Linked DNA regions of Danio rerio. The protein of the gene in region 1 purifies or fractionates together with the protein of each later gene. This does not show direct contact. Links are inferred from orthologs where the notes say so. Each region holds a gene or a part of one and is shown in the gene's direction. Other genes may lie near its edges. The genes, in order: usp4, dcp1b and rbbp8.

Region 1 (4,120 bases):
GAATTGGTGCAAACTATTCTGGCTTCACGGTGCAGGCCCCTGATCCTCCCTGCAGTGGCTTGTTAAAAAATACCTACACAACAATATAATCATGATTTAACTAAAATGTTGATCATTTATATTAAAGAAAACAAAAATGTACATTTTTGGACCTTTGAATAAAACGCTATTTATCGAAACCAGTACAGTTTTGTAAACATGTTAATAAAACCATCATGCAACATATTTTTGGCATTTGTTGATTCAGTTATGTTTGATTCATGAATGAATCTTTTAGAGGGGGTTTGTGAATCAGTTCAGCTGACTCATGAAACAGATCCAGCTCCGAATGAAATATTTTGCAATTCACTATTCGATTAAATCTTCTAAGACTGAATTTAATAGGGAACATTAATCATTTTAGTAGCTAACTGACATAAATAATAAATACAAATAAATATATAAAAAGTGTATAAAGTGAGGTGTCATGATGTGGACACCAAACCACTGTTCATCATGAACATTTTGTTTTATTTTGTTTTTTCTATTCTGGAATGGTACAAATCTATGTAAAGGTTATGCTATGGCATTTACTATGTGAACACCACACACAAAACTCACAAACATAAGTCAAATGTATCCTGAAAGAAAGTCATACCTGTGCATATTTGCAGTCAGAAATAACAGTTTTATCAATTTTGAGATCTCAATCTCAAATTTGAAACATTTTAAGAATTGTTTTTACAATTATATATATATATATATATATATATATATATATATATATATATATATATATATATATATATATATATATATAATTTTTTTTTTTTTTTTACAAATTGTAAAAATAAAAACATTTTGGTGAGCGTTTTATATCATTAAGTTAAACTTAAGGTTAAACTTCACTAGCACTCAGTGTTTGTAAAAATGTCTTAGCAGAAAATACATTTCTGGTCATGTTCATATAAAGTAATTGGACAATAACAATTGAATATAGGCCTAAATTACAGTTTATAGGCAGAACATGTAACAATATTAAACTAAAACATAGTAAACTTATTTCAGTTAATAAAAAATGTTTATTAACCGCTGTACCAGAGGGCTCGGTTTGTTTCATTTATCAGCCGCTCCCAGATTGCATGTAGCGGCTAGTCGAGCTCGGCAGTAGCTCCAGTGTGCGCGCTCCCTTTAGCGCTGCGCGTCCCCGGTATACTTCAGCAGCGCGCTCGCGGTCACTGCGGGTTCACTCGCTGCACGATGGCGGAGGGAGGCGGACCCGAGTCGGGTAACGCTTCGGACCCTGACGAGAAGCCGGTGATCACACAGACACCAGTACCGTCCACCGAGAGTCAAAAGCAGAGCATCGGGACACTGCTAAAAACGCTACTTCGAAAGGGAGACGAGTGGTAAGAGTTTTTTTTAAATAAAGCCGTAGTCATGGCACGCTTGTCGGCATCAGCTCAGGCCTACCGACGGAGACACCGGCTGCCGGAAATCCCTTCACTTCTCCGGCTGTGGACAGCCACATGTTCTGCTAACACCCAGAAACTATATAGAGTACATTACTGTTCAGGCGATATGACACAACAGTTTGTGGTTTAATATTATTAGCATTTAACACAATTTATGTCGGTTAAAAAACGATGAAGTTGTCTTGTAGCTAGTTAGCACAGGTTAACCAACCTTAGCATTCCATTTCTCCCCAAACATCACAGTATTTCCACCGTAAATGTCTCTTTAATGCATAAGGTGTTTTAGGCACGTCAGTAACGTTAGCTGAAGAGTTGGTAACGTTAAATAAACTCAAGCACCCCGTTGTCGGTTATCAGTTTTCTGATAAGCTAATGTTGCATGGCAAAGTAGCGTCAGGCATGTAAGGCACTTCTTTAGCCGAGGCTAGTTAGCCAGCCTAGTTTGCGTTTCGTTGACGGGTTAAGTGTTATTTTCTGTCAGACGTCAAACTTATTTTAGGGTTACTGACAAACTAGATTAAAATAAAGGTCAGACTTCTCCTTTTAAAGTTGTAGAAAGGAGTGTAAGCTACATAAACAAGTATTGCAGGCAGTGCTTTGTCATGGCCACTGGATAACACCCAGTCACTCAAAATGTTGTTAGGCAGCAGAAGAGTTTATGGCACCGATAAGACATGCACATACATATATTTTGAAATTATGTAGATTGAAGGTCAAAACATGTAATACATTATCTGTTAAATATTTGTATTTGTTTTTTTGTTTGTTTGTTTCTGTGTGGCTTTCATTTAGGAAAGCAATCCGAGAAGTAGAGTCTTGACACCTTTAATAGACTTATTTTTTTAGTTCAGCTTTATGCTTGTGCAAATCACCATTTTGGATTTAAAGGAATAACGTTAGTTCATTCAAAATGACAGCTTCTGCTACATTCCATGCGTTTTGTTTTGCTAAAATGCATGTAAACATTCAAGTTGTCAATGTGCCGACAATGACAAAATTTTCACTTTTGGGTTTCCAGTCAGTTAATTTACATTTTTGACATTTTATCAAAGTGCAATGACTGTCTCTTGGCAGAGGGAATCAAGTGCTAACAAGATTATGTAGTGGAACAAGTTCCTACTTTAGATGAGATTAAGAAAGGCATCCTTATTGACTGTTCTAAATTGGTAGGTGTGTAATGTAACTAAATAGAAACTCGCTTTGCATACTGTTTTGCGCTCATAATTTAGGAGAAACACATTAATTGTCTGTTCCCTCTGACTCTTCACTGATCTCCAGCTATTGTTTCATTTGTTTAGGTATTTGATTGACAGCCGGTGGTTCAAACAGTGGAAGAAATATGTTGGCTTTGACAGCTGGGATTTGTACAATGTTGGAGAGCACAATCTCTACCCGGGACCCATTGACAACTCTGGCCTCTTTTCAGGTAGTGAATGTTTGAGTGTTGTTTTGCCACATTCTTACAGATGGATGTTATAAAGAAAAATGGGCATGTTTTGCCACCAGAATATACATATATATAAAAAGAAAGGTTTTTTGGTAATATTTATTTTTTAAGGTTTTTAAAAATTATTTCTCCATTAAATGCAAACTGTTTGAATCAAGTCTTTTCATTTATATATTTTTTGTAATGATTAGCTTATGAGTCCAATTGATCTAATCCTTTAGGTATATTGACACACTCACTGATTCAGTACAGACTATAATTAACAATATATAGCTTTAACAGCTCACTGGAGAGGAAGATCATCTCAGAATAACTACTTTATTAATTCAAATTTTAGTCCAAAACTATTGTGACCTGAAATCAGACCAGAATTAAGCCAACAAGCACCAAATGTGAGTATTGCATTATCAAGTATATTATTACATGCTTCACATACATAGATTTTTTTTGGGTGGGCTGCCCAGGTGTATCAACAGCCACCCAAGAAAGCCAAACATTTGCGATCGATTAACCAGTGGAAAATCTTCTCTCGCTCTGCATGTTTCCTACTGCTGGTTCTGTGTGCACGAGAACCGTCAACACTCACACAGACAATCCCAAGCCAGCAGACCCACAGAGATACTCCAAAATCTCTCTGACCATAGTTCTTGGATGTCTTAAAATGTTCAGGATTTGGGTTTTACTTTTGCTTTTTAAAGTTGTTGTTATTTGTATGTGTTTTTGCATTACCTTTTTAAGAAAAACATTAAATAATTAATTGATAAACTACTTAGATCAACTGTACTATAAACTCAGAGAGAACAAATTATCCTGGCTGCAAAATATTTGTACACCATTAGAAATGGCTAATCAGCTAATTTGCCTGATTTAAATAGTCTACACTTTTTATTCTAGTAATTATCATTTTTGCAGTAATGTCTATTTTTATTTCTTTTTCTGTTATTTATTTATCATTTGCTGTATATTTTATTGATTTAATGATGTTATTGTATTACATACTTTATATATATATATATATATATATATATATATATATATATATATATATATATATATATATATATATATATATATATATATATATATGAAATGCTTTGGCAATACTGTACTATACTCTCTGAAATAAAGGTACGAGAGCTGTCACTAGGGGGGTACCTTTTCAAAAGGTGCACATTTGAACTTGATTTATTAGCACCTAAAACATTTAAGAGATGCAATT
Region 2 (4,385 bases), on another chromosome or scaffold:
TAAATGTTGGTTAAAACTTTTCTGCAGTGTTTAATTAGCTAAAACATATAGATGTGTACATAACATCACGATCACTTTAACAGAATTAGAAAAAAAATCTGCATGGGCTGCTGTGCTCTCTCAGAAATAGGTTGGAAATGATGCTGAACAAGTTAATTAAACACGAGTATTTAGGTAATGATGACCTCTAGTGGTACCTTTATAAAGTGCAGTTGAGTAAATTATCTTGAGAGGAAAGGATTTTCAATCTTGGCTCCGGTGCCAATGGGGCAGTGCAATGAGCTTTGTGGAAATGCTAAAGAGAAAAAAAGCATAGAAAAATGTAGCCTGTGTGCGTGTGTGGAAATATATATATATAAACAGAAAAACAAATGCATAGTAAAGCAAACACAACACGTAGATAATACAAAATAATAATAATACAATGCCTAACATTTTAAATAAACAAAATAAATTTATAATCATATTTATAAATAAATAAATATAGACAGACAGACAGACAGACAGATAGAGAGACAGTGTAACAATATGTTATACATTTATATTTCTTTCATGGTTTAAAATGGTCCTTATGGGGAAAACCTGTATAGGTGTCTTTTACATTTAGGATAGAGGTCCCACTAAAGACGATAATGATGACATCTAAAAGACTGGCAACCCCTATTTCAATTTCAAGGGGCAGACTTCACTAGCGAAGTAAGCAGTCGCTTACAGGGAATTATGGGGCCCTGAAAAATGACAATGTCTATAACCATTACGATTTTAACAACATTACTTCTTTTTAAAACCGGGGGCCCCATGAATAGTGCAACGTTCCTCCGTACAGCAAATGTAAAAACTAATCATAAATATGTCAAGTAAACTGTACATACAGTATAGTTTGTGAACTTGTGTGTGAGTGAGTTTATTGTATTTAATTTTACATTAAGAGGATTAAGGAAGATTAAAGGAGTTTAAAACATATTTTGAAAAAAAATCTTTAGAGAATGAGAGTGTTTTGAGTTTCATCGCTAGGGCCCCACACCTGAAATTGCTTAGAGCCCCAAGTCCGCCCCTGCTCAATGGGGTACAACAGTACATTTAGATTTATAGATTTATGTAGGCTAGTTGCAGGTGGGAAATGTGCCATTTTAATAATCACAGTAACATTACAGCGGTTGGACTTTACAAATGCAGCAGGGCCTCTGGACTGTAACATTTGTTTTTGGAAAGAATACGCAAACAATTAGGCAACAAAAACTAAACTACAAATCATCGTCTTTACCGAGGCAGCAATAGTGCAGGAGTGCAAGAATTTCGTATCCTCAAGGGTTCCCCTGGGTGCAGAAAGTCTGCAGCGTCAGCTCACTGCTTTAGCGTGATGTAAACGAACGTGCTGGCGTTCTCAGGTGAGCTCGAGCCAGCTGGGGGCTCATCCGTAACTCTGTCTCGACTATTTTCCCCTTTGCGCGCGCTCGGCGATTAGCTCGTTCTGTCTTCTTGACAGCGCAAACATGGCGATGACGGCAGCGGGACGAGAGTTAGACAAGTGAAATAAAGCCTTATATTCTTGTTTACTGCTTTGCACATCCCTGAAAACATACACAAGGAGACCGGATCGTTAAATAAGCTGTTTAAGTGTTGTTTTTACAGAGTTAAATTTTGCTTTTTAAAGGTATTTTAGGATTTGTGCCGTATTTTAAGTGGAGGTAAGTTTAACTCCAGTACGATGTATAAAAGAGCAACCGCAGCTCACCAAGGCCTTATTTAGTTCACTCGTAAACTTATGAATGTATGATGTATACCATTTTTTAAAAAGTAAAAACACTATTAATGCAGGGTTAGGGATATTAACAAACCGCTCAAGCGCAGTGTTAAACTTGTGTACGATGTCCCGCAGCGCTTGTGCTATGAACATCAACGGTGACCTAACCGGTCAAAGTGACCAGAATAAATACAGACGAGGATGAGGTGGACTCTTTAGACTCGGGCCAGTATATAACCACTCGTTATACCATAGTAACTACATGTAAGGGTTAGCTTGTCAACCACATTTTAGTGAATGCGAGTTTAAGAAATGTATTTTTATGCACACACATTTTTACTCATTGTATAAATTAATATATAAATGAATGCTTATAACTAAGAATAACGAATTTAGTTACATTTTGTAATCTTGCAAAGGTCTGACGCATTAATTTCTGTACACAGTAGACAACATTTGAAGTGGATCAAAACCTTTCATCAAAGTTATCCCAAAACTATTGAACAACACCCACATATAGATGATGGATGGATGGATGGATAGATAGATAGATAGATAGATAGATAAAACAATACTATATTTGTTTGGTAAACATGCAAACTGAACCAAAAGACCCATACAATAGAGGTGTACAGTAATTACATGTTAATAAAGAGTAATTACATCTTAATAAAGAGCATAAGTTTTTATTTACAGAAGCGAGCTGGAGCCATGACTGCAAGCACAGGTGGCGGTGGGAGCTGTTTATCAATGAGTCTGTCTGCTCTGAAGAGACTCGACCCCTACATCAGCAGCATCACAGACCTAGCCAGCCAAGTAGCACTCTACACCTTTAACAACAACACCAATGAATGGGTAAACAACAAGATCATCTCCCTTAACATAACATCTTAGTGGATAGAGATATTTATTTCTACTGCTACAAACATAATATTATTGTTTTAAATTGTAATATTATTTTTCTCCGACTTAAACATAAATAGATCAATGTATGTTTTTGTTGTGGTTTTCTGTAGGAAAAGACAAATGTGGAGGGAACTCTGTTTGTCTATAGCAGGTTTGTTTGATTCTTACATGTTTTTAACAGTGAAGCAACACCCACATGTACTGTATGGCCCTAAATCAGAGCCCTAGAGATCTAATGTGGCTCTAAGGGTCAGAGAAATAACCTGCACAATATTTCTCAGCATTTAGATGTACCACTGTTGTCTGCTCTTACACTGCACAACACCCACATGCAGTTTTGTAGGTCCTTCAGACTCATAAGCTTTAGTTTCCCACTCATGCTACGAGTTTTAACGTCAGTTCTCTGTGTATCAGGCTTGCCTCCCCCAGGCATGGCTTTACCATCCTCAATCGCTTGAGTATGGACAACCTGACTGAACCAATCACTAAGGACTTGGATTTCCAGCTGCAGCATCCATTTCTCCTGTACAGGAACGCTCGCTGTAAGTCTGTCTTTTTGTTGAACGAGCTCAAAGTCATCAGAGTGAAATATTTTAGACTAAACCAAAAGACTGCAAAAATATTGCTAAGCCCAAAGTATGCATGTATAGTTGATTTAAATGAAGAAATCCTTACATAATACAGTGTGTCAAAATATATGTGATGTGAGCGAGAGAGAGAGAGAGAGATGGCTGGGTGATAAGAAAATATTATCACATATCAATGATGTCTCCTGAGCAGGCTAATGTTGATTATGACATTAAATTATTGGGTGATAATCAGCATTATTGGGTTAAAAAAATAAGATTGTCAAGTAAATGTATTCTATCTAGATGATATTTATTTACCTTTACATTTTTCACAAATGTTTATGGTAAAGCATGTCAGCGATATATATTTTAATGAAGCACATTATTTCAGAAATGCAGTTACCTAAACTTATTTAATTTAGCCCTATAAATACAGTTACAATAAAATATAGACATTATAGATAATATATTGACCAATTAAGAAAGTAAGTGAAGTTTTACAAACTAATTTTGAGAGAAGCACGTTATATCAAACTGACTATAAATAGCCCGACTAACATTACTCCCTCATTTTAATTTTTTGAAGAATCCCCCCATGCCCCCCATCTTCCCCTTTCCTCCTGTACCAAGAGAAGCTCTCAAGAACTACCTGATCTCGTACCTCCTTACATGCTAACTGACCAGGAGGGAGCCCTGGGCTCAATTATCTCCGAGCTCAGGGTTCTCTCTCGGGACAGCATGCCAAACCTGCTAACACTTGAAATGACAAATGGGAAAGACGAGAAAAAAGTTTAATGGCATAAAGAAAAAGCATGGACATAAATTCAGCCTTAGAATTGTAAATGTGTTTATTTTATTAAAAATATAATTAAAATGAATGGACCTGAATTTAGCTGATTTATTGTCAAATTAAATTTAACAAAAGGACATTCAGGCTCGTTATCTTTTGTAATCAGTTAATCAGGAAAACAAATGCACTTCTCTGAAGTTAAAGCTTTACGACGATGCTACAAACTCTTTCAGAAGGACTGCTTGCATGCAGGCACACAAAACCTTTTTTGGCTTACAATGGAAATTTTTTAATATTCCTCCATCAATTACATTCTCCCTGGGCTGGCGCATGCAGCTTTAGACAAATTTATCATGAGGTAGTCAAGATGGCAAGA
Region 3 (3,656 bases), on another chromosome or scaffold:
TCATCATGGCAAAGATACAAGAAATCTGTTATTAGAAATAAGTTATTAAAACTATTCTGTTTAGAAATGTGTTGAAAAAAATCTTCTCTCTGTTAAACAAAAATTGGGGAAAAAATAAACAGTCGAGGTCAAAATTTATAAATAAAATCATAAATAATTCATAAGAAATGTGTATGTGTATGTAAGTCAGAATTATTAGCCCCCCTGAATTATTAGCGCCCCTGTTTATTTTTTTCCCCTATTTCTGTTTAATGGAGGGAAGATTGTTTCAGCACATTTCTAAGCATAATAGTTTTAAAAAACCTATTTCTAATAACTGATTTATTTTATTTTTGCCATGATGACAGTAAATATTATTTGACTAGATATTTTTTAAGACACTTTTATACAGCTTAAAGTGACATTTAAAGGCTTAACTAGGTTAATTAGGTTAACTAGGCAGGTTAGGGTAATTAGGCAAGTTATTGTATAACGATGGTTTGTTCTGTAGACTATCGAAAAAAAATAGCTTAAAGAGGCTAATAATTTTGTCCCAAAAATAGTTACATTCAAAAAAAAAAAAAAAAAAAAAAATATATATATATATATATATATATATATATATATATATATATATATATATATAATGTCTTTTGGAAATTGTGCATTTGGAATTTGTAATTTAGATGGAATTTTGTAAGAATTGAGTGTTAAAAAAATGGATATAAATAGTTTTTACTTTAAGTTGTCTGAAACTCATCTGTATCTACTAGGGTTGGATGATACATCGGTGGCCATATCAATATCAGCAAACCTGATTTTAATGTTATCTCGATTGGTCTAATAACAAAATTAGGTTTTTATTTGTGCTGTTTTTATGCTTTATTTTTGCTGGTTTTGCCTTGTTGTAAATGTTACTGTTCTGAAGTTAAAGTTTTAAAATAAAATCAGTTGTTCTCTGTAAGTGTTTGATTTTTGTTTTTGCAATCATGCATAACAATTATGGATATAGATATTATTTGTCTGCTATTTTTGTTAATAATATATTGGCTATCTGTTTCAAATCAAATTTACGTTATCAGTTATCAGGTCAAAAATTCCATACCAGTGCAGCTCTCGTCTCATCCAGCCTATCAGTATCAACCCAAAAATCTTCTTCAATGTGTGTGTTTAGAGGCTGAGAGGAAAACTCTGACAGATGAAAACAGGAGACTGAGTCTTGAACTGGAGCGACTCAGGAGGTCTGGGTGAGTCTCAGAGTTGAAGAAAACATGATGAAATACTGAGCACTGGTGACATTCATCATCATATGACCGTCTGTTTTGAGTGTGTGTTTAGTTCTCCACAGAACACGTCCTCTGAGGCTGAGGAGGGAATGATCCCAGACTCTCCTCTCCGGCCGCTGTCTTTACCCGTTGCCAGCAAGATGAAACGCCGGAAAGAGCAGAACCACGTCCGATACACTGAGACACCGCTATCACTCTCACACCCCGGTTAGTCACTCCAGAGAAGTTTAATCAGAATCAGTTTTATTGCCAAGTGTGCTTCACACACACAAGGAATAACACAAGAAGCTTCCAGTGTACATAAAGTGACAACACAAAATAAATATGAGGAAAAAAAGATGATAAACATTAAACGGAGATGCAGTTAGTCCAGAAATCTGGATGTTGAGTTGTATGTACAGATTTGTTATAAATATACAGGTTATAACATAAGGTGCTGTGTGCAAATGCGAATGTAGAAATTATTGCATTGTATATTGATATAAGGGGCTGTGTACAAGTGCGTATGAGAAAGTATTGCACATATTTATTGCACAGTTGGGTTATATTTAACTGTTCATGCAGTAGATGGCCTGAGGAAAGAAACTTTTCCTGTGTCTGGCTGTTTTTGTTCTTGGTGCTCTGAAGTGCCGACCAGACGGTAACTGTTCAAACAGGAAGTGTGCTGGGTGCGAGGCGTCCAGAGTGATTTTGCGAGCCCTTTTACTCACTCTGGAAGAGTACAGTTCTTGAAGGGTAGTGCCAGTGATTCGTTCAGCAGTCCGGACTATTCACTGTAGTCTACGGAGGTCGGTTTTGGCAGCTGAGCTGAACCAGACGGTGATTGAAGTGCAGAGGATGGATTGGATGACAGCTGAATAGAACTGCACAAGCAGCTCCTGTGCCAGGTTTAACTTCCTCAACTGACAAAGGAAGTACAGTCTATGCTGGGCTTTCTTCACGATAGAGTCTATGTGAATGTCCCACTTCAGATCCTGAGAGATGGTGTTGCCCAGGAACCCAAGGCCCTGTTCACACTAAGAAATTTTAGTTTTAAATCGCATAAGTTTTGCTACGCATTCCATCCACACTACCCTAGAGTTTTTGAGCGCCAAAGACTGAGCTTTTTGAAAACACTAAAGAGGCCGTTTTCATTCTATAACGCTGCTGCTCCAACTCGGTGTGGATGGGGAAAACGGAGACATCTGAAAACGGAGGCGTGGCTGTTGACATTCACCTATTTGATTGGGGTTTTTCTCAATATTGAGTAGCCTACACACACTTCAGTCCTGCATCCTCCCCTTGTAAGTTCAGACTTCACAAGTTTGATAAGGTAAATAAACTCCTCAGGACACGTCGGGTAAATTTTCAAAGGGAACAGTGTACTGTATACCCTCAATCACATCACCCTGGCTATGCTGTTTCACATCTCAACAATCGAATGAAAATATGATATTAGGAACTGTCAGTTTTTATTTTTAAAATTACCTTAACAGACACCAAAAATGTTGAGGCGTCGTGTAGCTACATATTTATATGACCGACATCTTCACTGTATGAATTTTTTAAACAAAAAGTCAGGGAGTATGTCGTTAGACAGCAAGATGAATTAAATATCACATTTAGCAAATATAGCTAGATTAGATCCAGCGGTAGATTCTTGATGAACCATCCGATGTGCACAGCTTTCACCTAAGGTGCTGTGCTCAAAATACCCGCTGACTGCCTGGAGCTCAGACGCTGCAGCGCATGCCAGTGTGTGTGTGTGTGTGTGGTCACGTCATGTGTGTTTTCAGTAGTATAGTGTGGACGGAGATCTGTTCAGAGACATTAGGTGAAACGCTGGACGTTTTCATTCTACATCGCCACTTTAAAAACTAAAACTTATTATTGTAAACGGGACCTAAAATGCCTAAATGACCTTAATATTATGTATTATGTAATATGTGTGATTAGGGATGGGAAATATGACAAAAATCTCAAGATATAAGTTGTCTCATATCCTGATAACAGTATATATCACATTATATTACCTTTTCTGTAAAATGTAATCAATTAACAGATGCATGGCCACATGTAAAGGACAATTACTTTTTAATGAATGTACTGAGAAACATGCTCATTCATATGTGATCATATTTGTCACTTTATTCGGATCTTTAGGGCAAATGTTTGACTAGAAATGTAGAAATAAAAAATGTATATAAACCAAATTGATAGAGATTTTAATGGCTCAAATTAACCGAAAAGAAATTGAATGAATGAATGAATATACATGTTTTGATTCCAAATTAGACATATGCTTTCATGGATAATTAAAATATAATAATACATAATATGGTCACACTTTACAATAAGGTTCATTAGTTAATGTTAATTAATGCATTTACTAAGATGAACAAACAATAAACA

Evidence for each region.
Region 2: the proteins of usp4 (region 1) and dcp1b purify together in Homo sapiens (co-immunoprecipitation; 3 studies listed by BioGRID and IntAct, with this or other methods). This does not show direct contact. The link is inferred for Danio rerio from reciprocal best matches to the Homo sapiens genes USP4 and DCP1B.
Region 3: the proteins of usp4 (region 1) and rbbp8 purify together in Homo sapiens (affinity purification with western blotting; 3 studies listed by BioGRID, with this or other methods). This does not show direct contact. The link is inferred for Danio rerio from reciprocal best matches to the Homo sapiens genes USP4 and RBBP8.

Annotation. Positions count from the first base shown.
Region 1 is NC_133181.1:44,915,829-44,919,948, reverse strand, and holds the start of usp4 (ubiquitin carboxyl-terminal hydrolase 4), read left to right. Parts: upstream 1-1,227; 5' UTR 1,228-1,239; coding exon 1,240-1,388; intron 1,389-2,752; coding exon 2,753-2,880; intron 2,881-4,120.
Region 2 is NC_133179.1:20,906,832-20,911,216, reverse strand, and holds the start of dcp1b (mRNA-decapping enzyme 1B), read left to right. Parts: upstream 1-1,481; 5' UTR 1,482-1,688; intron 1,689-2,427; 5' UTR 2,428-2,455; coding exon 2,456-2,599; intron 2,600-2,760; coding exon 2,761-2,801; intron 2,802-3,064; coding exon 3,065-3,192; intron 3,193-4,385. UniProt on the Homo sapiens protein: May play a role in the degradation of mRNAs, both in normal mRNA turnover and in nonsense-mediated mRNA decay. May remove the 7-methyl guanine cap structure from mRNA molecules, yielding a 5'-phosphorylated mRNA fragment and 7m-GDP.
Region 3 is NC_133199.1:39,949,182-39,952,837, forward strand, and holds part of rbbp8 (DNA endonuclease RBBP8), read left to right. Parts: intron 1-1,153; coding exon 1,154-1,226; intron 1,227-1,317; coding exon 1,318-1,472; intron 1,473-3,656. UniProt on the Homo sapiens protein: Endonuclease that cooperates with the MRE11-RAD50-NBN (MRN) complex in DNA-end resection, the first step of double-strand break (DSB) repair through the homologous recombination (HR) pathway.